4 linked regions of the Macaca fascicularis genome follow. The protein of the gene in region 4 purifies or fractionates together with the protein of the main gene of each other region. This does not show direct contact. Links are inferred from orthologs where the notes say so. Each region holds a gene or a part of one and is shown on either strand. Other genes may lie near its edges.

Region 1 (7,082 bases), about 270 kb from region 4:
GGGAGGCCAAAGCGGGAGGATCACCAGGTCAGGAATTCGAGACCAGCTTGGCCAACATGGTGAAACCCCATCTCTACTAAAAATACAAAAAGCAGCCGGGCATGGTGGCGGGCGCCTGTAATCCCAGCTACTCGGGAGGCTGAGGCAGAATTGCTTGAAACCGAAAGGTGGAGGTTGCAGTGAGCCGAGATCGCGCCACTGCACTCCAGTCTGAGTGACAGAGCAAGACTCCGTCTCAAAAACAAAAACAAAAACAAAACTGCATTATCACAGACAAATGTATACTTAATGATATTCTGCTTAATCTTACTAGGCTTTGTTTTACAGAAATAGTATTATACCATACGTAGTCTTATGGGATGTACTTTCTTCATATAACATTAGATTTTGGAGATTTCTCCATGTTGTTGCCTGTAGTTCATCCATTTTCACTGCTGTACAAATACTTTCTTTTCTCTTTTTTTTTTTTTTTTTTGAGATTGAGTTTCACTTGTTGGCTATATCTCAGCTCACTGCAACCTCTGCCTCCAGCGATTCTCCTGCCTCAGCCTCCCAAGTAGCCAGGATTACAGGCACCTGCCACCACACCCAGCTAATTTTTGTATTTTTTGTAAAGACAGGGTTTCACCATGTTGGTCAGGCTGGTCTCGAACTCCTGACCTCAGGTAATCCACCCGCCTAGGCCTCCCAAAATGCTGGGATTACAGGCATGAGAAACTGTGCCCAGCCAAATATTTTCTGTTGTAAATCTATCACATTAGCCAATGAATGGTGACACAAGTTGCAACATTTTGTGAACAAGGCACACCATTTTATGAATCAAGTACTCACGTATAAGTTTCTTTGAGCACATTCCTAGGAGAGGTGTTCTCGGTTTTGTTTTTTTTTTTTTCAGACAGAGTCTCGCTCTTTTGCCCAGGCTGGAGTGCAGTGGTGCGATCTGGGCTCACTGCAACCTCTGCCTACTGAGTTCAAATGATTCTCCTGCCTCAGCCTCCGAAGTAGCTAGGATTACAGGCACCCACTACCACGCCCGGGGAAATTTTTTGTATTTTTAGTAGAGAAGGGGTTTCACCAAGTTGACCAGGCTGGTCTTGAACTCCTGACCTCGTGATTTGCCCACCTCAGCCTCCCAAAGTGCTGGGATTACAGGCGTGAGCCACTGGCCCGGCCCTTATTTTCCAGTTTTAATAGCAGGTTTTGCTAGCCCTGTGGAATGAACTGGGAAGGTCTTAATGTATTTCTAGAGAATATTGTAAATAAAGGAATTAACTATTTTGAAGTTTCAACAGACTTTGTAAAATGTTTTCCACTTTTTCCATCCTTCTGAAGGATGGATTTTTGATTATCCCTCCAAGATCTTTTGCAGATTGCTAATCTATTCAAAATGTTTATTCTTGAGTCACTTACACTAACTTATATTTTACTAGTTGTAGAAAGTAGAAAAAGAGGCCGGGCGCAGTGGCTCATGCCTGTAATCCCAGCACTTTGGGAGGCCCAGATGGGCGGATCATCTGAAGTCGGGAGTTTGAGACCAGCCTGACCAACATGGAGAAACCCCGTCTCTGCTAAAAATACAAAATTAGCCGGGTGTGGTGGCACATGCCTGTAATCCCAGCTACTAGGGAGGCTGAGGTAGGAGAATCGCTTGAACCTGGGAGGCAGAGGTTGCGGTGAGCCGAGATTGCGCCACTGCACTCCAGCCTGGGCAACAAGAGCGAAACTCCGTCTCAAAAAAAAAAAAAAAAAAAGAAAAAGAACACTGACATATATAACAGCATTTTACTTAGTATATAAATACATTAACACAATAAGGTAAATTATTTCTCTTCCAGAAAACAAAGATGGATGACTGAATCTTTATGTCTGCAAATACATTCGACTGTCCTCGCTGCTGAATATCAATCTGCTTAACACAGAAGTCTATATTCAAAATCTACATCCCTCAAAGTTTTGTCTTTTTTTTTTTTATACTTTCAAATACACTTTTTTTTTGGGTCACCTATCACCCCAGCTAGATTTTAATATTTTGTCCAATTATAGCTTACTTTTAAAGTATAATTTGCAGCAGGCACTACAGTGAGGGAACGGGGAAGGTGTGTAGACTGACTTAAAACCCTGGTTATGCTGCTTACTAATTTTGTTACCTTAGGCAAATTATTAATCTCTGGGTGCCTTGGTTTCCTCATCTGTAAAAATGAGGATAATAAAAGTTCTCATTTCATAGGTTAAATATTTAATGTAAAGTGCTCAGACCTCAAACATGAAGTCTTAGCTATATTTTTCTTCCATGTGTTCTTTTTTCCTCTCCTTTTTTGCGATGGAGTTTAGCTCTTGTTGTCCAGAATGGAGTGCAATGGTGCAATCTGGGCTCCCTGCAACCTTCGATTCCCAGGTTCAAGCGATTCTCCTGCCTCAGCCTCCAAAGTAGCTGGGATTACAGGCATGCGCCACCACGCCAGGCTAATTTTGTATTTTTAGTACAGACGGGGGTTTCACCATGTTGGTCAGGCTGGTTTCGAACTCCTGGCCTCGTGATCCGCCCGTCTGGGCCTCCCAAAGTGCTGGGATTACAGGCATGAGCCACCGCGCCCGCCCCTTCCATGTGATCTTACCAGAGCTTAAATACTACTATTCTATCTTCTCAAAGTCTCACTTCCTCACAATGGGTTGCGACTTCACTGCAATCCCCTCGCAAGATAATTCAGAAATACCTTAAAAGCCAGGCTCAACATATACTAACACTTACCCATGCTAAAAAGAATTCATACATCCCAAACCAACATTACCTCAACCACACTTCTCCAATTTCAGTTGGGTTTAAAAAAAAATACATCCAGAAAGCCCAGGTTAAAAATAAAGAGCACTCCTCTCTTAGTTAAGCAGTGAGGGAAGGCTGAAAATTCTAAGTAACTTTTAAGGATCAATAGTTTTTGACAGTTATCTTAAGAAAGCATATAAAAGATGAACACCACACTGGTAAAGATCCCTTACCTTACAGTGTTGGGAGACAGAGAACAAAGAGAGGGAGATAATATTTTCATAATGAACTGCCCATTATATTAACCTTCCCAAAGAGTCCAACTACTCATTCAGTGTTGAAGGATGTGAATTTTTACTTGCTTACTAAAATTTAGGTATCATAAGAAATATTTATTAAAATAATGTTTTAACTTGAAGCGAAGGTCACACAGCTTTAGGGAAAAATCAGAGCGATTAGGTGATTGGCTAGTGCTGATCAAGAAAAGAGCGCTAATCTACAGAACAAAGACTCTCATTTCTAATTTATTTCACTACTGAATCAAAAATGTAAAAAAACAGCAACAAAAAGACTAAGTCTTTCAGTACAAGCATCATGCCACTTCTCTCAACTTCTGTCCATCTCGTTGGGAAACGTTATGTGAACTACGCGGGAGACCCTATCGTCCCATTTCACTGTCTCTAGGGTTATTTCACTCCTTCTTCCATGATAGTGAACACACAGTGTAAAATGAAAGAGGACAACCTTCAGGCTCAGTAGCAATTCTTACTTTATCAGCCTTAGTCGGAAATCTGATTCGGAAACCTCAAGTTCCGATCCCATAAATCGCTCCTTCCTCCCAGCAACTTAAGCTGCGGTTACCGCTAAGTCCGGCTCGGCCCCAGCGACAGCGAGGCGCTGGACAGGGTATTCCAGCCTCACCCCACCTCACCTCGGCCCTTCCTCCCACGGTCCCTCCCCGCTCCGGCTGTCTTCACTTCCTACACCTCGGACGAAGCGCTCATCGCCACCCGCGATCAAAAAGGGTTTCCCTTCGGGAAAGGGGGAAATACAGGTTAATTTCTGGAAGAATCTGTGCGCCCGGCAGCCGCAAGAGGAGGGAGGAGGGAAGAGTCGGGAAAGGGGCGGGGAGCTCAGCACCATCCATCAAGACGTTAGCGCTAGGAGATCGCAAAGTCGCCTTTGGGCCTCCACTGCAGCCTAGAAATTCTCCCACGCACTCCGGGTTGAGGTGGGAATGTGGAATCCAGGCTCCCAAAGATGAGGATGACACCGGAGCTCCCGACTGCCTCGGTCCCGAGGGGGCGGGAAGCGAGAGGAACAAAGCCAGGGCCACTCATGCCCCAGGATGGCCGAGGGACCCAGGAGGCCCCCTTACCTGCCGTCAGCAGCTGCATGGCGTGAGTGAAGGACGGGTCGAGCGAGTCCTTCTCGGCCATGAGTTCTGGCAGGTACTTGTTCTCCGGCTCCATCTTCACGGAGGCTGTGGCCGAGGGGGGCAGCAGCGGGGTCGGCGCTGGCCCGCCCACTGTCGCGTCGGGACCCGTGGCCGAGGGCGGCAGCAGCGGTGGCGGCTGCGTAGCGGGCGAGGCCCGGGCGCCCCCGCGGGACCCCCCTCCGCCTCCCCGGGACCGGTGAGGCAGCGGCGGCTGCCGAGACGGCGTCTGACGCACCGAGGGGTGGGCACCGGAGGGGTCCATGGAGCCGCTGCGGCCCGAGGACCGGCTCATGCGCGCGGCGGGGTCGTCCCGGCGCTGCATCGGGGAGGATGTGCGAAACCAAGGAGCGAGAGAGCGACGCGGCAGCGACGGAGGCCCAAGCGGCGGTTGGCGGGGGTGGGAGAGCGGGAGCAGTAGCGACCGAAGCCGACCCGAGCGACCCAGCGAGAGAGAGCACCGGAAATGAGGCGGCGCGCGTGCGCAGCCAGTCACCGGCACCGCCCTTGGGTTTCTCCGCGGAGAACAAAGTCCCCAGTCCGGCCACGGCGCCTGCGCACCGCCGCGGCGTCCGAAGAAGTCGCCTCCTGACTCTGGCTTTCCCTCCGCGCCCGCCAGGCCAGAGCTTGACGCGCATGCGCGGGAGGCCGCAGGCTCCGTTCGTTTCCTTTTCCACGTGACTCGGCGCTAGCGGGACACGTGTCTCCTCCCTCTTCTGGCCTACTGCGTGGAGGGGGCGGGAGCTGTGGAATGTCTTTGTCTGCGCGCGGGCCCGCGGAGTGTGGGGCGGGAGACCTGTTACTCGCGGGGCCACGCCCTCTCCAACGGCTGAGCAGCGGAGGGAGGCTGTGGGGAGTGGGGTGGGGAGTGGGGTGGGGATGGAAGTGGGGTGGGGGGCGGTCACCGAAGTAAGGAAATAAAAGGAGACTGCCGTGAGGGACACGGAAAGGGGAGGGAGAGAGAATTGAGACCGCCGGGGGAGGAAGACAGGAGGGAGAAAGGAAGGCTAAGGGAGAGTCCGATGCAGGAGGGGAAGTTGGGGAAGGGAAACCTGGAGGGAGAAATTGAGAAAGGACGGCTCGGTGGAAACTCTGAAGGCTACTGGAGGACATGAGCTAAGAGGGATGGCTCGGATCAGAGATCTGAAGTCTAGCAAAGAAAAGGGCCCCAGACATAGGGAACACAAGAAGTCGTTTCCAGTGTATGTATTTCCAGTATTAGATCTCTTCCAGTCGGTTCTAAAACGGTTGCCGTTGTTGGTCAGGGAAATCTTAAGCAGCATTTTAGCTCTTTTTATATATTTTACTGCTTTCTCTGAATTGTGTTTTGTTTTGCCGTTGTCATTGCCAATTAAGTGATTCTTCTGCCAAAAAGTGGAGTAGAGACCAGATCCTTAATCCACGTTGCTTGCATCATTAGGGTGGCTCCTTCTACCACTCCAGACTTGCTCAAAGAGACCCTTGCCACTACTCTCAAAGGCCAGATGGCCAGTCTCCCACGGCGTTCTCCACATCCTGGAGTGCTATATGCAGGTGGAGCGTTAGGTCCCTACTTGTCCCATAAACCATCAAAAGCTTAGTGCTGTCTCTAACTTTTCGTTCCCTCCACAGATTTTTTTCTTCTTCCATTTAAAGCACTCACTCCCATCTCTTTTTCTTCTGGATCAGTTCTCCTAATGAGCCCACACTTTTCAAAAGTCTTTGGGGCCTCGTGCGGTGGCTTATGCCTGTAATCCCAGCACTTTGGGAGGCCTAGATGGGAGGATTACTTGAGGCTAGGAGTTCGAGAGCAGTCTGGACAATGTAATGAGACCTCATCTCTAACAATAAAAAAGTTTCCACCGGGTTCGGTGGCTCACGCCTGTGATCTCAGCACTTTGGGAGGCCGAGGTGGGCGAATCACCTGAGGCCAGGTGGAGACCAGCCTGGCCAACATGGTGAAACCCCGTCTCTACTAAAAATATAAAAATTAACGGGGTGTGATGGTGCGTGCCTGTAATCCCAGTTACTTGGGAGGCTGAGGCAGGAGAATTGCTCGAACCAGGGAGGCGGAGGCAGCAGTGAGCCGAGATCGCGCCACTGCACTCCAACCTGGGCAACAGAGCGAGACTCCGTTCAAAAAACCAAAAAACAAACAAAAAAAACAAGGAAAAAAAGTTTCTTCGGAAATTGTCTTCTGAGTGCCTGGAAACTGTTGATTTTTGGATGTGAAACTTAGAACCCTTTAACTAGAGAACCTAAAGGCCTTCTTGGGTTAAGGGAGGGGATTTACCAAGTCACCCACAGAAATGAAAACAAAACACACATATCCACATAAATTATATATATGTAATATAAAATATAGGCCGGCTGCGGTGGCTCATGTCTGTAATCCAAGCACTTTGGGAGGCTGAGGTGGGCGGATCACCTGAAGTGAGGAGTTCGAGACCAGCGTGACCAACATGGCAAAACCCTGCCTCTACTAAAAATGCAGAAACTAGCCGGGGGTGGTGGCGGGCGCCTGTAATCCCAGCTACTCGGGAGGCTGAGGCAGGAGAATCGCTTGAACCCGGGAGGCGGAGGCTGCAGTGAGCCGAGATCACACTACTGCACTCCAGCCTGGGTGACAGAGGGAGACTCCTCCTCACAAAAAAAAAAAAAAAAAAAGTATATATACATTTACTTTGAGGTTCCAAGAAGTGACTCTTGTCCTCAGTCAAGTAGGAAAAAAAATATTTTTGAGTGCTTGTAATGAATGAAATGTGATGAATGTCAAAAAGATAGTTGAAAATTAAGTGCAGGCCAGGTGCAGTGGCTCATGCCTGTAATCCCAAGGCAGGAGGATCTCTTGCATCCAGGAGTTCGAGACCAGGCTGGGCAACATAGTGAGACCTCATCTTTACAAAT
Region 2 (7,266 bases), on a different chromosome or scaffold from region 4:
CCACCCTCACCTCCCTGGCACAGCTTCTGGGCAAGATCAGCAACATTGTCATTAAGGACGATGTGGCATCTGAGGTAAGTGGGCAGGGGATGGATTCTGCAGCTTGGGACTGGAGTAGTCAGAGAGGGCCAGAGTGTGGTGAGACCAGAGAGCCTGTGAAGTCACGGTGTGGACTTCACAGGCTCTCTGGTCTCACCACACTCTTCATCTTTAGTGTCCCAGCCTTCCTCTAGACAGCAGTACCAGCCCCCCAGCAGGAGTGCAGATGACAGTGCGAGGTTTCAAGCTGACCCTAGGAAAATAAACCATATCCCTTTAGACAGACTTCCATAGATCCTGGATGAACTCCAGGCATCTTCCTCGATAGATGGAAAGCACAGTAAGGCCCAGCACCCTTTCCACCAATGCCTGGGACTTACTGGTATACCCTCTTGTCCCTTCTGCTTCCTAGGTATACAGGGCTGTAGCTGCAGTCCAGAAGTCAGCAGAAGAGTTGGCCTCTGGGCACCTGGCATCTGCCTTTGTCGCCAGCCAGGAAGCTGTGACGTCCTCTGAGTGTGCCTTTTTTGACCCGTCACTCCTCCACCTCCTTTATTTCCCTGATGACCAGAAATTTGCCATCTACATCCCACTCTTCCTGCCTATGGCTGTGCCCATCCTCCTGTCCCTGGTCAAGATCTTCCTGGAGACCCACAAGTCCTGGAAAAAGCCTGAGAAGACAGACTGAGCAGGGCAGCTCCTCCACAGGAAGCCTTCCTTTTTGGCCAAGGTGGGCGGTGTTAGATTGAGAGGCACGTACATGGGGCCTGCCGGAATGACTTAAATATTTGTCTCCAGTCTCCACTATTGGCTTTCCAGCAACCAAAGTACAACACTCCAAGATGGGTTCATCTTTTCTTCCTTTCCCGTTCCCCTGGCTCAGTCCTCCTCCACCACCAGGGGCCCCAAAAGGCACATCATCCGGGTCTCCTTATCTTGTTTGATAAGGCTGCTCCCTGTCTCCCTCTGTGGCATGGACTGTTTGTTCTTTTGCCCTATTTCTCAACATAGCACACTCATGCACTGAGAGGAGGGAGCATTATGGGAAAGTCCCTCCCTTCCACTCTTCTCTCTAACCCCTGTGGGAGAGCCCTAGTCCCTGCCGTCATGAAGGGGTCAGGCATTGGTCACCTCTGGGACCTTCTCCCTCACTCCCCTCCCTCCTAGCTAGCTTTGTCTGTCAGGTACAGTCTGGTGGAAGTCCAGGAGGCAGCAGCTCAGGACGTGGTGTTGGGGGGGTGTGTGTGTGTGTGAGTCAGAGGTTCCGGAAGGTTCCAGATTTGGAATCAAAGAGTCCTGAATTCAAATCCTTGTTTTTGCACTTATTGTCTGGAGAGCTTTGGATAAGCTGTTGAATATCTCTGAGCCTCAGTTTTTCATTCATTCAAATGGCACTGATGATGTCTCCCTTACAAGGTGGTTGTGAGGATTAAATGTGATCAGCATGTAACGTGTCTAGTGTATATTAGGCTCTTAATAAACACTGGCTGAATATGAATTGGAATGATACAAAGTCTGAGCTCTACTCTTTCTGCATTCACTGGTAAGTAACAGTTTCCTGGTGTTTGTCCTCCTGTGCCCACAGGTCCACTTTGCTTCCACGTGGCCATGTGCCTTTCCTAGCTGGATTGCCCAAGGCTGTTAGCATCTGCTTTTTACCTGAGATACTAATTCATCAGGTAAAAAAAAAAATATATATATATATATATATTTTTTTTTTTTTTTTTTGAGACGGAGTCTCGCTCTGTCGTCCACGCTGGAGTGCAGTGGCCGGATCTCAGCTCACTGCAAACTCTGCCTCCCAGGTTTACGCCATTCTCCTGCCTCAGCCTCCCGAGTAGCTGGGACTACAGGCGCCCGCCACCTTCGCCCGGCTAGTTTTTTGTATTTTTAGTAGAGACGGGGTTTCACCGTGTTAGCCAGGATGGTCTCGATCTCCTGACCTCGTGATCCGCCCGTCTCGGCCTCCCAAAGTGCTGGGATTACAGGCTTGAGCCACCGCGCCCGGCCCTATATATATATCTTGAGCACCAGCTGCAGGGAGCCTTCTGCCAGGTGCTGGGGTCCTACTGAGAACAAAGTAGGCAGGATCAGTGCTTTCACAGAGCTGAGCTTTCATGAGGAAGAGCAGACAAATAAAAATAATTTCACATAATGCATTGGAAAGACAAAAACAGGCTGGTCAGATGGTGACTGAGGGGGAAGGACTTCAGACTGGGTGTGGGGGAGGCAACTTTGAGCAGATGACATTTGAGCTGTGACTAGGAGAAAAAAGGCCATCTGGGGAAGAGCATCCAAGCAGAGACCCTGAGCCTGGAACTCACGAGCAGAAAGGCTGGAACACAGTGAGTAAGCGGAGAGGTAGTCAGGACCCCACTAGTACCAGTACAAGAAAGTGTTAGAAAAACAGAATGAAGCCCAGGGCAGGAGCCCCCGACTCCCATCCCCCACGTCCGTGGCCTTTCGGCAGGGGTGGGCCGCGGGGCGGGCGGGATCAGCGCAGGGCCCACCCCAGGGGCGGGGCCGGGGCGGGGCGGTACCTGGAGCCCCGGCCGGGGGCGGGGCTGTGGACGCTCCCCCTTCCTCCGGCTCCAGCCGGCGCAGGCAGCGGCGGCAGCAGCAGGCGAGCCGCGGCCCGGCGAGGCCATGAAGGTGAAGAAGGGCGGCGGTGGGGCCGGGACGGGGGCGGAGCCCGCTCCCGGGCCCTCGGGCCCGAGCGTGGCCCCCATACCAGAGCCGCCAGTGGAATCTGAATCTGGGTCCGAGTCGGAGCCGGACGCAGGCCCAGGGCCCAGGCCGGGGCCGCTGCAGAGGAAGCAGCCGATCGGGCCGGAGGACGTGCTGGGGCTGCAGCGGATCACGGGTGGTGAGCACCCGCGAGGGAGCGCCTCCCGCTGGCGGGAAGGGCAGAGGGTGCGAGGGGCCCTCCCGGCGCACCGAGCCCCAGCCCCCGCCCCCTTTCCCGCCTCCCCTCCCCCACCGAGTCTCCCTCTCCTGTGTCCCCTACTCTCCCTTCTGCCACCAAGCCTGAGATCTCTGTGTACCCCCTTCCCTTGATCTCTCTCTCTGTGCGCTTTTCTTCTCCCTTTCAAGATTTATTCCTTCCTTTTCCGGGGGTCCGTCCCCTTTTCCCAGCGTGGAGGTGCGTGCGGCAGCAGCTGCAACTGTAGCCCTGCCTCTGTGGAGTCTTCAGAGCGCTTTGAGGCCCGCCCCTGCACTAATGAGGAGAGGGGCTGAGTGCAGCTTGTCCTCAGCCCCCACCCTGGAGGCTAGGTGGAGGCTGAGTTACTTCGGAGGCATTCAGACTCTTCATGTCTCCCCAACCATTAATACCCTCACCCTGATCCTCCAGGAATACTTGGGCCATTTTCTTCCCCAGGAAAGAAACTGAGCAGGCAGCTTCAGAGTGTTGACTGTGGTTCCTTCTCATGGGGAGTGGCTTAACGTCCCCCCAAGCCTGGACTAGCGCCTGTCCTATTCTAGGGGCTCTGTCATCAAGGGAGGCTTGGTCTCCACTGTGGTTAAGAGTTTCTGAGCTGGACTGCCTGGGCTGGAGTTCCAACTTTGCATATAATTGGCTGTGTGAACTTGGGCAAGTAACCTGACCTCTCAGCATGTCTTTTCATCTGTAAAATGGGGATAATGGTATCTGTCTCGTAAGGTTATTGTGAAGATAAGTCCTCTGATTCTGTACAGTGCCTGGCATCTATGCATTCTGTGTACATTGGGCTCTTTGATCAGTAGTATTTGGGGCCCTACAGGGCTGCTCATGGCTGCTGCCTGGGGTCAAACAACTTGGCTTTCAGGGCAGGGGAGGGGGTCATCATAGGCAGGGAATGAGGGCTAGGAAACCTCATAGCAGAGGCCTTGGCTGAGCCTCAAAGGATGAAGAGACAGTGGCTCTCCACCTTGGCCACATTCACCAGCAACCTGCCCTGGCCCCCTTTGTGAGAATAATTGTTGGGGGGCCTCTCTGTGGGTATGGGGTGCATATATTGGAGTGGACCTGAGCCCTAGAGCTTCCAAAGCAGCTGAACACAGGGCTCCCAGACAGAGCTGTGGAGGGGAGGCAGCCTTGAGCCTGTGCTCCTGGGTCCCTGGGGGCCAACTCCTCTATCCTTACTGAGTTAGGCAGCAGCCATTCTTGGCTGGGCCCCCAGAGTACTGAGCTCCCTTGCCCAAGCAGGCGTCGATGGAGGGAGGGAGGCTGGACCAGGCTGATGTTGAAGCCAGTTGGGCTACAATTTGCAACAGCAGCATTTAGGATTCAGCTTAGCTCTGGGGCAGAACTGTCTCAGAGGAAGTCCAGAGGTCAGATTGAGCCCTGAGTAACTTGGGGGGTTGATTTTGCAAGTAGAGGGAGCTTCCAGCTCATGTACCACCATTTGTCTCCTAATTTGGAGGCAATTCATAGCCCTTAGAGATGGGGAATCTGTGGAGGGTGAGTAGAGGAAAGGGCTTCATGGGAACCCCTTCCTGTGCAGGAGTTGAGAACAGGGTTCCAGGGATTTCCACCCTGGCACCTCTTGCTGGTCTCTTCTGACCCTAATCACGCAGGTCCGAGGTTTGCTGTTCCCAGATTACTGGGCCCTGAATCCAGCTTAGGAAGCTATTTGTGGCTGAGAGGAATAGAGCAGTTGTGTTCTGAGCCCTTGGCCACTCTGCTCCTTATTCTGACCTGACCCTGGGTCCCAGGCCTCATCCTTTCTAGAAGGGAAGGAGTGGCCATGGTGTTCTGAGCCATAGACATCCCTGTTCCTCACTTCTTCTAAGGACAGAGAGGTTGATAGATTGAGTTTGCAGTAGAAGAGACTGAGGTCAGACTGCAGAAAGCTGTTCCCAAATGAGAGAGGCTCCAAAAGTTGGAGAATGGGAGAAGAGAAGGCCTTACAGGGATCTGGGAGTTGGGCACTGGGATCCTGCTCCCCACTCTGCCACTCTATTCCCTATGCTCTGTACCTTCTTTCTATGTCTTTATACTGGTGCTTACTTTCTGTGAAAATAGGGTGAATGGCGTGAGATAGAGGTTGCCCACTTCCAATCTCTCCCCACCCCACACGTGGGCTGTAGTAGACTCTTCCCCAAGCTGTATAAAGTCCATGCCGGGCCCCAGGTACCAGACGGCTGCCAGGAGGGCTTCCTGGAGGGGACTGTGTCAGGCTTGGGGAAGAAGCAGGCCTGGGGAAGAGAAAATGACTTTATATTCACTTCCTCTTCCTGCCCCAGAGGAATAGGTGGCCCAGGGGCCTGGAGGGTGATTTCCAGGCCTCTGTGGGCCACCAGGGGAGGATGTGATGCTGTGTAGGCTGACAGCATCAGAGTCCCTCCCTGCACCTCTCAGCTATCTTTGTTGCCAGGGTCTCCCTGAACACCTGAAGTTGCTGCTGCAAGAGCTGTGAGGGTTAGATCGGGCCCTGTAGGTCCCTGAGCTTCCTCAGGCAGGGCCTCCCACTGTTCTTGGTTCCCCTTGTGGGCCCGAGGACTCCCTTTAGCCCTTCCACACCCGCTGCTGCACCTGCCACACTCGCTTCCTGGCCTAGCCTGTGTTCTTCTCTATAGGGGTCCGGGACTACTTTCTCCATGGTGGTGGCTCAGAGCCAGGGCTGCCTAAATGACCTCTAAGGGGGTTCCCTCTGCTTGCTAAGACTTCCTCCCATTTGGAGATCAACAAAGGATAAGAGCAAAGTTGGCCTCCACCCCCTGCCATATCCCAGGCTCTGGGCTTGAGTCAGCAGAGCTTTGGTTAAGCTGCTTAAGGGAGCTGGGCTGGTGTAAGCTTCTTACTGAGAGGAGGGGGTTGGGAGGGGAGGAGGAACAGGGAAGGGGTTGTTCACCTGCCCCAGCACCACCCATATCAGGGAAAGTCCCCTCAACATCAGCCTCACCTGATACATCTAGATGTCATGCCAGGGGCAGCTGTGGGGCGAGGGTAGGAGTATCCTCCAGAGAAGGACTGTGACTCTCCCAAGACAGAGCTGTGTGGCCCCCTTTACAGTGTGGTTCTCAAAGGCAGGGTAACAGAGAAGTTGATAGATTGAGTTTGCAGTAGAAGAGACAGGTCAGACTGCAGGAAGTTGTTCCCATATGAGAGGAGAGGCTCCCACCATGCTGGAGACCCAATTCTCCCAAAGTCACCTAGCCAGCCTTGGCAGAGCAGAGGCCAGAATGAGGACCCTCAACTCCAGGGTGGGAGGGAGAGCGTCCGGGAGGTGGCCTTGTCCTCTACCCTTCTCTGCCCTTCCCTTCCCTGGCCCCCAGAGGCCACCAGGATGGCACGCCTTATCCCCTGTTAGATCCCCATGGTGGAGTTATGTCTCTTCCACACTGGGGGTGTACTCCAAGGGCAGGGGTTCAGGTCCCTCTTTCCAGAGGGTAGTGATCCCAGGGATGAGAAGATGGTAGCTACTCTGGGGTCCCACACAAGCTGACCTGGCAGCAGGGGCTTTGGGGCCCCTTCCTTGCTCAGCTGCCTGTCTCCCGTAGACTACCTGTGCTCCCCTGAGGAGAATATCTACAAGATCGACTTCGTCAGGTTTAAGATTCGGGACATGGACTCAGGCACTGTCCTCTTTGAAATCAAGAAGCCCCCAGCCTCAGGTGAGTGGGCTGGGTGGGCCATTGATGGCGAGGCAGATATGAGCTGCGGAGTGGGCTGCCCAGGGACTCCTTGGGCCACAGAGGAGTCCACAGAGGTGGGGCTTGGACCCCAGCATTCTCAGGAGTCTGCAGGCAAGGGGGCCCTTTCTTTTCCTTCCCATATGTTTCTGAGGCTGGACATCTTGTGAGGTCAGCCCTGCCCCTTCGGTCCCTGCCAGCCTGCCCTCTGCAGGGCTCTCTGGGAACTGCAGTCCTATGGGTCCCAGGCCTCAGCATCCTGTGGCCCCGGAACCACAGTGGCAATTGGGAACCTGCAGATCTAGAACCGCTAGGTGGCACTATCTGGCCAATGGTCTGAACCCTCAATGTGCCCCAGAATTTCTTGGGGAGTTTTTACAAAATCAGATAGATAGAGGCCCAGGGGTGGAACCCTGGGTGGACAAGGGCCCAGCCTGAAGCCCACTGAGCCCCAGTTGGGGTACATTGCAGAGCGGTTGCCCATCAACCGGCGGGACCTGGACCCCAATGCTGGGCGCTTTGTCCGCTACCAGTTCACACCTGCCTTCCTCCGCCTGAGGCAGGTGGGAGCCACGTGAGTCGCTGGGCTGGGGGTGGTGGTGGGGGTGAGGG
Region 3 (7,105 bases), about 98 Mb from region 4:
CCGCCCTCCTCACGCCTCCTGGAGGCAGCCACCTCTGCTACCCTGACCCAGGCTGCCATCATTTCATGTGAAATATTGCCTCTCCCGAAACTTGCCAGGCCATGTCACCCCTCAGCTTGTAACTCTCCAATGCCATCTTGTCTCGCTCAGAATAAAACTCCAAATGCATACAAGAGTCTACAGGGCCCCCCTCCCTCACCCCTCTGATCTCATCTCCTACTTCTCTATCCTTCAGTCACTGGATCCACCCATGCTAGCTTCCTCTCTGCTCCCATCATTCCTCAGACACAGCAAGTCTCCTCCTGCCTCAGGGCCTTTGCACCTGCTGTGCCCGCTGCCGAGAATGCTTTTCCTCCAGTTGTCTGCATGGCTCTTCTATTTCATACAGGCCTCTATTCAGATGTCCACTTACCAGAGTGACCTTCCCTGACACCCTGTGTAGAACAGCCCCAACCCTGTCACTCTTCAACAATATTTCACATGAAATGATGGCAGCCTGGGCCAGGGTAGCAGAGGTGGGTGCCTCCAGGAGGCATGAGGGCTGGAGGCTGGGTCTGCCTAGAAGGTGGAGCTGCTGGTGGAGCTGTTTGGTTTTCTTGTCAGTGTGTACTTATCATTACTAGACAGACTCTGTCTTCTTCGCTTGTTTTCTGTATTACTCACTTGTCTGCCTCCTCCTTCTAGAATGGAAGCTCTTGAAGGCAGAGATATTCCAGTCCTTTAAGTTCACTGCTATTTTTCCAGTGCCCAGAAGGTTGCGTGGCACCCAGTGGTCCCTCAGCACTGCCTGAACTTGTGCACCACTGCCTGCTAGGCTAAACGGTACCCTGTATTTCCTTCTGAATCACATTCTCCACACTGGATTTCTATTACTTGTCCATTTTTACTGCTGGAAAGTAGGCTTTGTGAGTTTGAGACCCATCTGTCTGTCTTGTTCATGGGTCTATTCTCAGGGCCTGCCAGCAGTTGGTAGGCCCTAAGTACTCCGTAAATATCTCTTATATTAAAAACAAATGACTTCTAGGCTGGGCGCAGTGGCTCATGCCTGTAATCCCAGCTACTCAGGGGTCCCATTCAGGAGACCCCTGCATCCTCCCCTGGCCTCATCCTGGAAGGGCAGTCTGCAGGGGCTGCTACTGCAGCAACAGGGATGGGAAAGTAGTTGGACTTCCAGATTTCAGAAGTCAAAACTGAAAATACCAGATGGAAAACACCAGCATTCGAAGCCTTAGGGACAGAAGGATAATGGGGCCTGGAGAGGGGAAGCTGACTCAGGAGGCTGAGGCGGGAGAATCACTTGAACCCGGGAGGTGGAGTTTGCAGGGAGAAAAGATCGCGCCACTGCACTCTAGCCTGCGAGACAGATCGACACTCTGTCTAAAACAAAACAAAACAAAACAAAAAACCCCAAATGACTCTGTGTGCCCCTGGTCTCTCCTTGCCCCTCTGTCTCCGTGTGGCTGGGCTTGTCTCTTAAGGAGGGACCCCCCAGCACTCATATTTCTCGAAGGGCCTGCCACCCTCTCACGAAGATGAAGATGCCTGGATAAGGGAGGCATGCCCGGGTGGTGTTTTGGGATGAGAAAGTGCCTGGTGCCGCGTCTTGCGCCTGGGCTCTGAGTCGGGGGGCGGGGAGGGGGCGCTGGCCTGAGACCCTGGGCTCTCTGGTCAGGGCCCGGGGCGCGTACCTGGCGGGCGAGCGGCTCGGTGAGCGTCTCCCCGTAGGGGCTGAGCGGGTGCGCCGTGTAGTGCCGCAGCAGGTCCTGCAGCCGTTCGTGGGCGCTGTCCTCGCCCAGCACCACGTGGCGCCCGTCCCCGAGCTGGGCCAGCAGGAAGTGGCGGCAGCAAGTCCGGCTCCTGGAGGGCGCCGTTAGGGATCAGACTATCTCCCACTCCTCGGCCAGGGCCACCAGCGCGAGGCGCGACCCCCACTTTCAGCAGCCCGGGAACTGAGCTAAAACCTCGGCTCCTCCTGGGATCAGACCCAAGCCCCGCCCCTCCCGAGCCCCGCCTTCGGTCGCCCGGCGCGGGGCCTCGCCCCTCACCTGTAAGTCAGCACGAAGGTCACCGCGCTCTCGCTGAACCGCACCAAGTAGCATCCCTGAGGCTTGGGCTCCAGCAGCCTCTCTGCCTCCCTGTGGGTGACGGAGAGAGGGGGCCGAAACCTGCTCTGACACTTCCAGCCTCGCCTCTGTCTCCCCAGCTCTCACGAGGAACCCTTACCCCCAAGCAAGCATGCTGGAGCGGCTAGAGAAAGGCTAGGGTTGAGATGGGGAGAGAGAGCATGTGGGAGCTGTTCTCCCGCTGCAGGGACTAGGGGTGGACAGGGGCCAGGGGTCCCATTCAGGAGACCCCCCGCTTCCTCCCCTGGCCTCATCCTGGAAGGGCAGCCTGTAGGGGCTGCTACTGCAGCAACAGAGATGGGAAAGTAGTTGGACTTCCAGATTTCCGAAGTCAAAACTGAACTGAGGAGGTGAACAAAGAGATAGGGAGAAATGAGGCTGAGAAATGGAGGAGGGAGGATCTGCAAGGGTGGAAGAAAAGAGGCCTGGGAGATAAAGATGGAGTAAGCCTGGAGGGAGAGAGAGGTGGAAAATACCAGCATTTGAGGCCTTAGGGACAGGAGGATAATGGGGCCTAGAGAGAGGAAGCTGAGGCACAGAGAGGCCTGGACTGGAGCCTCTCCAATGATCTCCCCTGGAGAGATGCCTCAGTGAAAGGCCTAGAAAACTCTGGGAGTGGGAGCCTGGAGTGGGCACCTCCATCTGCTCCAGACTGGTAGAAGTGGGAGCCTTCATCTATTCCTGGCAGGTGGCAGGACCCAGACCCAGGACTTGCCCTGCCCCTGTCTGGGCCAATTTCCTCCTCCATGACTCACCTCCGGGTGATGAAGCCATGGAACCAGGCAGGGGCTGCCCCATGCTGCAGGAGCCAGTGGGCCTGGGTCTTCTGGAACCAAGCCCGGGTCTCCGCCTGCAGGGACAGGCTTCCTTCTCCAGGCACCTCCTCTGCCCTCTCAGCATTCCCTGGGATGGAGGCAGCCTCCAGGGCCTGGGGAGATGCCTGGATCAGGGAAGAGTTCAAGGAGGGGGAAGCAGCATGATGGGTGGGCCTTCTCCTGACTTTGATCCACCTGCCACCTTCTTTTCCTCATACCCAGCCTCTCCTGTCTATTTTAGGGTACAATTGCCCAGAAAGTCCTTCCTAAAGTCTAACTTAAATCCCTTCTTCAGCTCCAGCTGTTCTGGCTTCCAGAGACTCTCCTTCCTCTGCCCTCTGGGTCCTGAGGGCTTTTAATCCAGCAGCAGTGAGCTGTCACACTGTGCTCCAGGAGGGACGGGAAAGGCAGCACAGCCTTCCAGATGGATAGAGTCATTCCCTGGCCTGGAGGATGAAGGAACATGATGCCGGAAGTCACGCTAAAGGCCAGAATGAGGGAGGGCTTACTCCACAATATGAGGGACTGAGCTAGTTCACAGAGAAAATTCTTGAGTGGGCGGGAGGGAAGGGCTGAGACGTGGAATGCACCGGGTGAATGAAGGTCACTGACACAGAGGGCAGATGCCTGCTTCTGGGACTCAATGCGCTGCATCCTGGTCACCTGCGGACTCTGCCTGAGCTTCCGGAGGGCCTAGGAGCAGCACGGGAGTGAGTGGGCAACTCAGTGCATGAAGGAGGTACTCCCCATTTTCGTTCTCTCCCTCTGTGCCCCAGCCCGTTGGCAGACCCGGATCATTCCTGCCTTCTCTCGGGGTGGCCTTTGTCCATCTGCAAATCCTTCCCCATGGGAGGGTGGGAGAGATGAGGGAGCTGCACCCCGCTGCCGCCCCAGGTTTCTACCCACCGCAGTGTAGCCCAGGTTCCGGCAGCTCCTGTGGGTCATGTCCGTGATCTGGAAGGTGCTGAAGGTTGGGATGGGGGCTTCGTGACTCCCTGTGAGCACAAAGAGGGCTGTCGGGGTTTCTCAGAGTGGGACTGTATCTATCTCTGCCTCCCACCCCTCCTCCCAGGTTCAGGGATCTGTAGGGCTGGGACAGTCTTAATGACAGGAAAAACGCAGAAGGGCAGCAGGGGAGTTTCTCAGGCATGAGGATAAGTAGCCAAGGGGGCGTGAGGGGGGCTAATGCTGCCAGAGGAGGTTGTCAGGGACACCAGGTGCCTAGAAGGAGAAGATGGGAGCCAGGCTGGCCTTCGGATGGCCAGGGAGGCAGATCACTTCAGGGCAGGCCCTTCTTCTGGTCCAGGATCTTCTGCCTCCTCCTCCCTTCATCCTCCTGCTCCCTCCTCTCTCCTCTCTGAGAAGCGCTCAAAAAACCCTGTCACCTTTATCCTCAGGGATGAGTGGGCACGGAGCCCCAGGCGGGGTTGTGGTCGCCCTGCCTCTCAGCCTTGCCAGCTCTGGCTTAGAGTGGGGCCCCTCATCCCTGAAGTGGGAGCTCAAGCCCAGGAGGGAGGGCAGGGGGATGGGGGTCTTGGTGCCCCCTCCCACCCATATCCTTCAACTTCACACTTACCTTGGGGACATATCTGGGCCAGGGGGAACTCCATGGGGGCAGCCTGACAAGGGATCCCAGAGCAGGGTGTGTGTATGTGCTCTGGAAAGGTGTGCACACTCAGCAACTCTTCATCTCTCCTTTCACCCTGGCCCCAGGGGCAGGAAATGTCGCCTTACCCACAGCCTTAGTTCTGGCAGAGGACCCACGTCATGGAAAGCCTTAAGACGATTGTCCCACCCCCGGAAGCCACGCAGCTGTAGATAGTGGTGGTATAGCGGTGGGGGGTATCTGTGTCACTCTGTGTTTAGGTGTTAGGAAGTCCTTACTGCTACCTGACCTTCATCCCTCCAGATTCTTTCTCTGCTCCCTCACCCCAAACTAGAACTTCCCTTTCTCTCTCTCTCATCTCTCTTGACTTCTATTTCTTTCTCTCTGAAAAATCTCCCACTCTGCCTCTTGGCCTATTCTGAGCAGTGGGAATGGGGATGTCAGCCTCAAGGATAAGCCACACAAGGTGCTTATGGGTCATGCTTTGAGGAGACATGAGGAAGGGAGGGGGCAGGGCTGCAACAGGAAGGATGTGGGTTAGACTTCTGGAAGGACTTTTTGAGGACATATGAAATCTATGAGTCGCCGGGCGCGGTGGCTCACGCCTGTAATCCTAGCACTTTGGGAGGCCGAGGCGGGCGGATCACAAGGTCAGGAGATCGAGACCACGGTGAAACCCCGTCTCTACTAAAAAAATACAAAAAAATTAGCCGGGCGTGGTAGTGGGCGCCTGTAGTCCCAGCTACTCAGGAGGCTGAGGCAGGAGAATGGCGTGAACCCGGGAGGCGGAGCTTGCAGTGAGCCGAGATCGCGCCACTGTACTCCAGCCCGGGGGACACAGCGAGACTCCGTCTCAAAAAAAAAAAAAAAAAAAAAGAAATCTATGAGTCTGGGCATGGTATCTCACGCCTGTAATCCCAGTACTTTGGGGGGCTCAGGCGAGAGGATCGCTTAAGCCCAGGAGTTCATGATCAGCCCTGGGCAACACAGTGAGACCCCATCTCTATTTTTAAAAATTAATAATAAAAAAAGAAATTTATGAGACAAGGGGTTAGAGAGGAGGGGGACTGGATTCCATCATTCAGCAGATAATGGAACTGAGTTAGGGAAAAACCAGGCAATCCTGGAGGAAGGAAGGAGAATTCCTCCAGCTAAGCTGGTCATCATTAGTATCAACACTATCAGCAGTTGCTGTTAATAACCTCACTGTTGATGTCTTTTTTTTTTTTTTTTTTTTTTAGACGGAGTCTAGCAGGACTACAGTGACACAATCTCAGCTCACTGCAACTTCCACCTCCCAGGTTCAAGGGATTCTTGTGCCTCAGCCTCCCGAGTGGCTAGGATTACAGGCTTGCACCACCAAGGTTGTACCACCAATCACCAGGCTGATTTTTGTATTTTTAGTAGAGACAGTGTTTCACCATGTTGGCCAGGCTGGTCTTGAACTCCTGACCTCAAGTGATCCACCCACCTTGACCTCCACAGGCGTGAGCCACTGCATTGGCTGGTGCTGATGTCTTAAACTTTCAATGTGCTTAGACTTCCCACCATACCAAAGGACCAACCCCATTTCTCTCTGAATTGATCTTCACAAACTAAGAAGGGGACAGGAACATTATCCCCATTTACCAGAAGCTCAGAGGAGTGTCTTGGCCAGGGCCTTTCAGTGGCTAAGAAGTTGGTATGAATGCTGGGACTAGAAGCTAGACTTCCTTTCACTAATTTCACTGTGATTTAGGCCAAAGGTTCATGACTATGTGCTGTGCACTGTTCTTGGTACTGAGAACTCAGAGAGGAAAAAAACTTTTGTCTCAAGATGTCAGGTGGGGGAGATGTACTTGCCAAGACTTACTGTTTTTCAAAAAATTATGTACTGTTTTCTTACTTTTAAAAACGTGTTCTAAATTTTTAATAGTTTTTGGGGTTCAGTTGGGTTTTGGTTACACGGATAAGTTATCTGGTGGTGATTTCTGAGATTTTAATGCACCTGTCACCCAAGCAGTGTACACTGTCCCCAATATGTAGTCTTTTACTCTTCACCCAACCTTCCCCCCAAGTCCCCAAATTCCCTTATATCACTCTCATGCCTTCGTGTCCTCATAGCTTAGCTCCCACTTATAAGTGAGAACATACGATATTTGGTTTTCCATTCCTGAGTTACTCCACTTAGAATAATGGCCTCCAGCTCCAACCAAGTTGCTGCAAAAGACATTGTTTCGTTCCTTTTTATGGCTGAGTAGTACTCCATGATGCAGATACACCACATTTTCTTTATCCACTCTTTGGTTGATGGGCACTTAGGTTGGTTTCATATCTTTGCAATTGCAAATTGTGCTGCTATAAACATGTGTGTGCATGTGTCTTTTTTATAGAAGGACTTCTTTTCCTTTGAATAGACACCCAGTAGTGGGATTGCTGGAAATAATGGTATTTCTACTTTTGTTTTTTAAGGAATATCCATACTGTTTTTCATAGTGGTTGTACTAATTTGCATTCCCACCAGCAATGTAAAACTGTTCCCTTTTCACCACATCCATGCCAACATCTATTTGTGTGTGTGT
Region 4 (6,478 bases):
TCCAGCCTGGAGGACAGAGTGAGACAAAAAAAAAAAAAAGATACACATGACATAATCTATTTGCGATTTCCCATTAGCCAATGAACAGCTTGTTTCTCTTCCTGAAAGAAGGATAGATCTTACACTCCCAAAGAATCAGAGCCAGATAACAGCGACAAACCTATTGATCAGTTACTATATAGTAGCCATAGTTTTGTGGTTTTTTTGTGTTTTGTTTTTTTGAGACAAGGTCTCACTCTGTTACCCAGGTTGGAGTGCAGTGGTGCAATCACAGCTCAGTGCAGCCTCAACCTCCTGGGCTCAAGTGGTCCTCCCACTTCAGCCTCCCAAGTAGCTGGGACTACAGGCATACACCACCACGCTCGGCTAATTTTTACAAATTTTTTGTAGGAATGAGGTCTCGCTATGTTGCACGGACTGGTCTTGAACTTCTGGGCTCAAGTGATCCACCCACCTTGGCCTCCCAAAGTGCTGAGGTTATAGGCTTGAGCCACTACACCTGGAAGTAGGCATAGTCCTTTTTTTTTTTTTTTTTTTTGAGACCAAGTGTCACTCTATCGCCCAGGCAGGAGTGCAGTGGTGCGATCTTGGCTCACTGTAAACTCTGCCTCCTGGGTTCACGTCATTCTCCTGCCTCAGCCTCCTGAGCAGCTGGGACTACAAGTGCCCGCCACCGCGCAGGCTAATTTTTTTTATTTTTAGTAGAGATGGGGTTTTACTGTGTTAGCCAGGATGGTCTCGATCTCCTGACCTTATGATCCGCCCACCTTGGCCTCCCAAAGTGTTGGGATTACAGGCGTGAGCCACTGGACCCGGCCTAAAGTAGGCATAGTTCTAACTGCTATATATGCATTAATTATTTCATCCTCACAAGACCCTATGAGGAGGTTACTAATGCATTATTATAGTAGGAAACCATGACAGAAAGAGGTGATGTAATTATCACAAAGCCATAAAATCATGAAGCCAGACTTCTGACCCAGGCAGTCAGACGCTAGAGGCCTTGATGAATACTCTGTATTAATTCTGGTGAGCCCATTTAGATTTCTGCTGTTATTCTTGAGGAAACTGAGCACCAGAGACAGTGCAGGCACTTGGCCTGTCACACAGCAAATCGGTGTGAACAAAGCTGAGGCTAGAAACTCGTATTCCTCTTCCTGGGGCTCTCACTCTGTCCAGTATCAGACCAAGAAGGGTGCGGGGTGGGGGGGCTCACTCAGAACTGAAAAAGAGGGCTTCCGGGGCAGATCTGCCCTCCCAAAGCTCAGGGGCAGAAGGGAGAGAAACAGGGGTAGGGACCCATTCGCTTTCTGAGATCAAGCATCCTGAGATCAAGGTAGGGCTTTGAAGAAGGTAAACAGAATGGCAGGTCAGGGCAGGTTGGGGTGAATGCTCTTCCAGAACATTCTTGCTACCTTAGGCTCGCCCCCAGACAGGATCAGAGGATATACCTTTTTCACATGCCTGGAGGTGAGTCTTTTTTTTTTTTTCTTTTTTTTTTTTTCTTGAGATGGAGTCTTGCTCAGTCGCCCAGGCTGGAGTGCAGTGGCGCGATCTCGGCTCACTGCAAGCTCCGCCTCCCGGGTTCACGCCATTCTCCTGCCTCAGCCTCCTGAGTAGCTGGGACTACAGGTGCCCACCACCACGCCTGGTTAATTTTTTGTATTTTTTAGTAGAGACGGGATTTCACCGTGTTAGCCAGGATGGTCTCGATCTCCTGACCTGGTGATCCGCCCGTCTCAGCCTCCCAAAGTGCTGGGATTACAGCTGTGAGCCACTGCACCCGGCCTTTTTTTTTTTTTTTTTTTTTTTTTTTTGAGACAGAGCTCTGTCACCCAGGCTGGAGTTCAGTAGCATGATCTTGGTTCACTGCAATTGCAACCTCATCCTCCCAGATTAAAGGGATTCTCCTGCCTCAGCCTTCTGAGCAGCTGGGATTACAGGCATGCGCCACCACACCTGGCTAATTTTTGTATTTTTAGTAGAGACGGGGTTTCACCATGTTGGTCAGGCTGGTCTCGAACTCCTGACCTCGTGATCTGCTGGCCTCAGCCTCCCAAAGTGCTGGGATTACAGGCCTGAGCCACTGCGCCCAGCTGGAGGTGAGTCTTTAGGGGCCAGGAAAGCTCAATAAACCCTCCTTGCTTGAGCTTTGGGCCAGAAAAAAAGGTGTACTTTCACCCTCCGGCAGGGACAGCGGGGAGAGCAGTGTCCCCCGGCAGCCGACTCGGGCGGCACCCACCATTCTCCATGTATTCAGTGATGATGTAGATGGGCTCCTGGGTGACCACAGCGTAGAGCCGAACCAGCCGCTGGTGTTGCAGCTGCTTCATGAGGTTGGCCTCGGCCAGGAAGGCGTCTGGGGACATGCTACCCTGCTTCAAGCTCTTCACTGCCACCTTTGTGTGCCCGTTGTAGTACCCTGGATCGGGGAAGGGAAGGAGTGGGAGAGTCGCCAGGCAGCTGTCCTGGGACTCTCACCACCTCAGCAGCCCCTCCCGTTCCCCTCTTCCCGGGCAGTCCTGGAGGCCACACTCACCCATCCACACCTCCCCGAACTGTCCAGCCCCCAGCCGCTCCACCAGCTTCAGCGTCTCCCTGGGAACCTCCCACTCGTCCTCCCACCATGGCTTCTGGGGCTTCTGGGTCTGGCAGGGGCGGCTCAGCCGTGTGCACAGCCCATCTGAAGCATCTGCGAGGACAAGGGAGGGGTGAAGACTGTCAATATGGCAGGCCTCGTATTGACACCACTTCCCCCACTTCTCCAAGCTCCTATCTAGGTGAAGTGGACTAGCAGGGGGGTGTGGGGCTGTCACCCAAACACTTGGGTCCGTAGGGTCAAGTTCCACACCTCACCCACTGCGGGGAATGGAGGAGCGCATTGAAAGATGGATGGGGGACACCCGAGGGGGACTGAGGGGAGATAGGCTGATAGGGCACGGGGGAGGGGTCCTGCCGGGCTCACTGGTGTAATGGCGGACCAGTTCATGCAGGCCGGGAAAAGTGATTCGGGGGGAGATGTAGAAGCCACCGTTGTCCAGATTACGGATTTTGTAATGTTTCACCACCTCTCCCTGGTTCTGGTCGAAGTCCCGGACCGACAGTGAAAACGATCCTGAATGAATGAATGGATGGACAAAGGGACTAAAGAACGCAGTGAGTCTGGCCCGCCACCGCGCCCCCCTCGGGCTCACCCCGCGTCCCCACCTCGGGCTCACCCTGCGCTCCCCCTCGGACTCACCCCGTGTCCCCATCGGGCTCACTCCGCGTCCCCACCTCGACCTCACCCTGCGCTCCCCCTCGGACTCACCCCGCGTCCCCATCGGGCTCACTCCGCGTCCCCACCTCGGGCTCACCCTGTGCTTCCCCTCGGACTCACCCCGCGCCCCCCTCGGGCTCATCCCGCGCCCCCACCTCGGGCACACCCTGCGGCACCCCCGCGCCCGGTCGAGACCACTGCCCGCTCACCCGCGGTGCTCTCGCTCTCCCGGATGAGGAAGGAGCCGTGAGTGTTCCCGGGCGCCAGGAGCTGCCGCTCCGCGTCCTTGCGGCTCAGGTTCTTGAAGAACCAGCTGTGCACGGCGGAAGCGAACGAAGGCTGTCGTCGGATATTCCTCCGTGGCCCTCAAGCCTTCACCGCCACCCCAGGCCCACTCCCTGCTCCAGGATCCCTAGATCTGCTCCCGCTCACCCCCACGACGGGTCCCCACTTACGGTTCGGGCTCCAGGCTGTTCGCCTTGGCCACAAAATTGAAGGGGATGAAGCCTTCCTGGCCTGTGGTCAGGGACTGCGCCTTCCACCACTCGCCGCTCCTGCGCCACGGAGGCGGATCAGTGTGGCTAGCTCAGCCGTCGACCTGAGACCCTCCCTCAAAGACCCCTCCACCCCTTAAGCCAGCCTCGCCGAACCCTGGCTCAGCAGTCCTGAGCCTTGAATTTTGTCCCAAGGGCGGCCACCCCAACCGGTGGCCTCAGGAGGGCTGCGGTCCCGGAGATCGCGCTCCCTCACGGACTCCTCCAGAGCAAGGTGGAGAGGGACTCACTGCTCCAGGATGCGGAGCTGCTCCCCCTTCTCAAAGCCCAGGTCTCCGTCGTGAGAGGGCTCATAGCTGTGCAGGGCGATAACCAGGTTGTCTGTAAAAACAAGGGGCATCAGGGAGAACCGGGCTGGGATGGGCAGAAAGCCTGGAGTTACAGGGCGGGGGACAAGGAAGGCAGGACCGGGGAGAGAGTAGGTGGGGGTGAGGTGGAAGCCAACAGCCAGGGATCGGCAGGCCTTGTCTTTCAGGCCCTGCTGCCTGGGGTCACCTTGCAGTGGGGAGGCCGGCGGATTGGAGCCTTCGTAGGTGACCAGTGGGTCCCGCACCTCAGAGCCATTTCTGATGAGCAGCTGTGGAGTAGGGGATGAGGGTGGGGTCAGAAAGCAGAAGACTGGGTTAGACTCTGGCCCCCTTCCCCCCTGCCCTGCTCTCAGTCTCTCCAGCCTGGTTGGGTGTATCCCTGAGTCTACCAGCTACTTGCTGTGTGATCTTAGGAGAGTCATTTCTTTCTCCTGGGTTGCATGCTCTACCCAACTCCCTCACCAAGGCCCCTGTCTCGCCTCTTACCGTGCCCTTGCCATCCAGTGGGACTATGGGATAATGGCAGTTCTCACACACATCGATGTTTTCCATCCAGTCATCTTCCGGGTGTGAGCTGCAGCCACAGCCCATGGTCCCTGAGGGAATGGAGAGGGGGCTGAAGGGGCTCCCCCAAGATCTGCTCCCCAACATCAGACATCATGGGGCCTTGCCCTGGAAAGTTCCAAAAGTACCTGAGATTGTGAGATCTTGGGATCTCCATTCACCAGCCACAGAAAAGCTAAAAGAGGGGGTCCCAGCTCCAAACCGTTGCTCCCTCTGAGCCCTCAGGCTGCAAGTAAATTCACACACGGCCCCTGAGCTCTAGCCCCACCCTCCCACCTGGGATGGGCAAACCGCCACAGGCACCTTTGTTAGTCTAGTTACCCACTTCCTGCCTCTGCCCCCTCCCTCTCCCTCTGCCGGCACCCTGTGTTGGGAGGACCACCTCCTAGAGATGACACACACTTTCCCAAGCCTGGGGGAGACCTGACTTATCAGACCCTCCCCTACTGGAGAGGTGTGCACGCCCCACCTACTATTATAATTCCCCTGTCTAGCTGAGGAGGCTGAGAAAGAGGCTTCTGCTCCCTAAGTCCACCATCAGGACCCCGCTGTTCCTCTCACATAGCCCCACAGTCACCTCACAGGGTTCCTTCAAACACAGGCGTGCTTCTCCCCAGCAGAAAACCCTCCAGTCAGTCTGTTGGCCATAACTTTTTTTTGTCGCTTATTTGCCTGTGTTAGCACTGGAAATTTTTTGTCTGATGAAATCAAGCAGAACTCCATAGATAAAGCGATAAGTGTGTGGGCCTGTTTTGTCTGAAGCAGAATGGGGCCCTCACTTTGAAGCCCCCGGAGTCCCTGCAGCTCCTCCTTGTCTAGGGCTGCTCCTCAGAGCGGTTGGAAAGCGCTGTCCTCAAATAAAGTTTGATGTACCGTGCATTCCAGAACTTCAAGATCAAATCCACCTTCGCAGTCCATTCTGCTACACACACACTCTCTCACACACACACACTCACACACACCCTATATATACACACACCCTACACACACACACACAGAGGCACCCCCATCCCACCTCCACAGAGGCATCCACACACACTTTCACATACACACACACTCACCCCTCACAGGTACCCCCCCACACTCACACACAGACTCACCCTCCCACACACAGGCACCCACACTCACACTCAATAAACACATACTCTCACCCCCCAAAAGTGCCCCCCCACACACACAGGCACCCACCCTCACACACACACATTCACACACACACTCTACACATATTCCCCACACACACAGGCACCCACACCCACAAACACACACTCATCCACACACCCACACAGTCACACCCACAAACACACCCACATACACACACACACACAGGCACCCACACCCACACACATGACCCCCACACACACATTCATACACACACACAGGCACCTCCACATACCCACACCCATGCACACACCCACACACTCACCCCCACATACACTCACACACATGCACAGGCATCTCCTCCATACATACCCCCACACACCCACACTCACACACACAAACACACCCACACACAGGCACCCCCACACACACCTCCACACACAGCCTGTGTTCTGAACTATTCTTGCCTTTCCCAGACACCCCATGCTATTTTCTTTTTTTTCTTTTTTTTTTTGAGATGGAGTCTCACCGTGTCGCCCAGGCTGGAGTGCAGTGGCCGGATCTCAGCTCACTGCAAGCTCCACCTCCCGGGTTTACGCCATTCTCCTGCCTCAGCCTCCCGAGTAGCTGGGACTACAGGCGCCTGCCACCTCGCCCAGCTAGTTTTTTGTATTTTTTAGTAGAGACGGGGTTTC

What was found. Proteins that work in one complex are often made in the same cells at the same time.
Region 1: the proteins of LCK (region 4) and KHDRBS1 purify together in Homo sapiens (affinity purification with western blotting; 5 studies listed by BioGRID and IntAct, with this or other methods). This does not show direct contact. The link is inferred for Macaca fascicularis from reciprocal best matches to the Homo sapiens genes LCK and KHDRBS1.
Region 2: the proteins of LCK (region 4) and UNC119 purify together in Homo sapiens (affinity purification with western blotting; 3 studies listed by BioGRID and IntAct, with this or other methods). This does not show direct contact. The link is inferred for Macaca fascicularis from reciprocal best matches to the Homo sapiens genes LCK and UNC119.
Region 3: the proteins of LCK (region 4) and SH2D2A purify together in Homo sapiens (co-immunoprecipitation; 3 studies listed by IntAct, with this or other methods). This does not show direct contact. The link is inferred for Macaca fascicularis from reciprocal best matches to the Homo sapiens genes LCK and SH2D2A.

The regions. Positions count from the first base shown.
Region 1 is NC_088375.1:203,014,324-203,021,405, forward strand, and holds the start of KHDRBS1 (KH domain-containing, RNA-binding, signal transduction-associated protein 1), read right to left. Parts: upstream 4,656-7,082; 5' UTR 4,522-4,655; coding exon 4,140-4,521; intron 1-4,139. UniProt on the Homo sapiens protein: Recruited and tyrosine phosphorylated by several receptor systems, for example the T-cell, leptin and insulin receptors. Once phosphorylated, functions as an adapter protein in signal transduction cascades by binding to SH2 and SH3 domain-containing proteins.
Region 2 is NC_088390.1:34,014,451-34,021,716, reverse strand, and holds the start of UNC119 (protein unc-119 homolog A), read left to right. Parts: upstream 1-2,611; 5' UTR 2,612-2,685; coding exon 2,686-2,905; intron 2,906-6,522; coding exon 6,523-6,636; intron 6,637-7,125; coding exon 7,126-7,228; intron 7,229-7,266. Other genes in the region: PIGS (GPI transamidase component PIG-S), read left to right, coding at 1-74, 452-727. UniProt on the Homo sapiens protein: Involved in synaptic functions in photoreceptor cells, the signal transduction in immune cells as a Src family kinase activator, endosome recycling, the uptake of bacteria and endocytosis, protein trafficking in sensory neurons and as lipid-binding chaperone with specificity for a diverse subset of myristoylated proteins.
Region 3 is NC_088375.1:104,258,110-104,265,214, reverse strand, and holds the start of SH2D2A (SH2 domain-containing protein 2A), read right to left. Parts: upstream 4,656-7,105; 5' UTR 4,549-4,655; coding exon 4,515-4,548; intron 3,934-4,514; coding exon 3,845-3,933; intron 3,064-3,844; coding exon 2,879-3,063; intron 2,136-2,878; coding exon 2,046-2,135; intron 1,858-2,045; coding exon 1,689-1,857; intron 1-1,688. UniProt on the Homo sapiens protein: Could be a T-cell-specific adapter protein involved in the control of T-cell activation. May play a role in the CD4-p56-LCK-dependent signal transduction pathway. Could also play an important role in normal and pathological angiogenesis.
Region 4 is NC_088375.1:202,749,191-202,755,668, forward strand, and holds part of LCK (tyrosine-protein kinase Lck), read right to left. Parts: intron 4,901-6,478; exon of another isoform or gene 4,843-4,900; coding exon of another isoform or gene 4,814-4,842; exon of another isoform or gene 4,794-4,813; 5' UTR 4,773-4,793; coding exon 4,608-4,772; intron 4,391-4,607; coding exon 4,044-4,390; intron 3,814-4,043; coding exon 3,715-3,813; intron 3,573-3,714; coding exon 3,469-3,572; intron 3,116-3,468; coding exon 2,966-3,115; intron 2,693-2,965; coding exon 2,540-2,692; intron 2,423-2,539; coding exon 2,243-2,422; intron 1-2,242. UniProt on the Homo sapiens protein: Non-receptor tyrosine-protein kinase that plays an essential role in the selection and maturation of developing T-cells in the thymus and in the function of mature T-cells. Plays a key role in T-cell antigen receptor (TCR)-linked signal transduction pathways.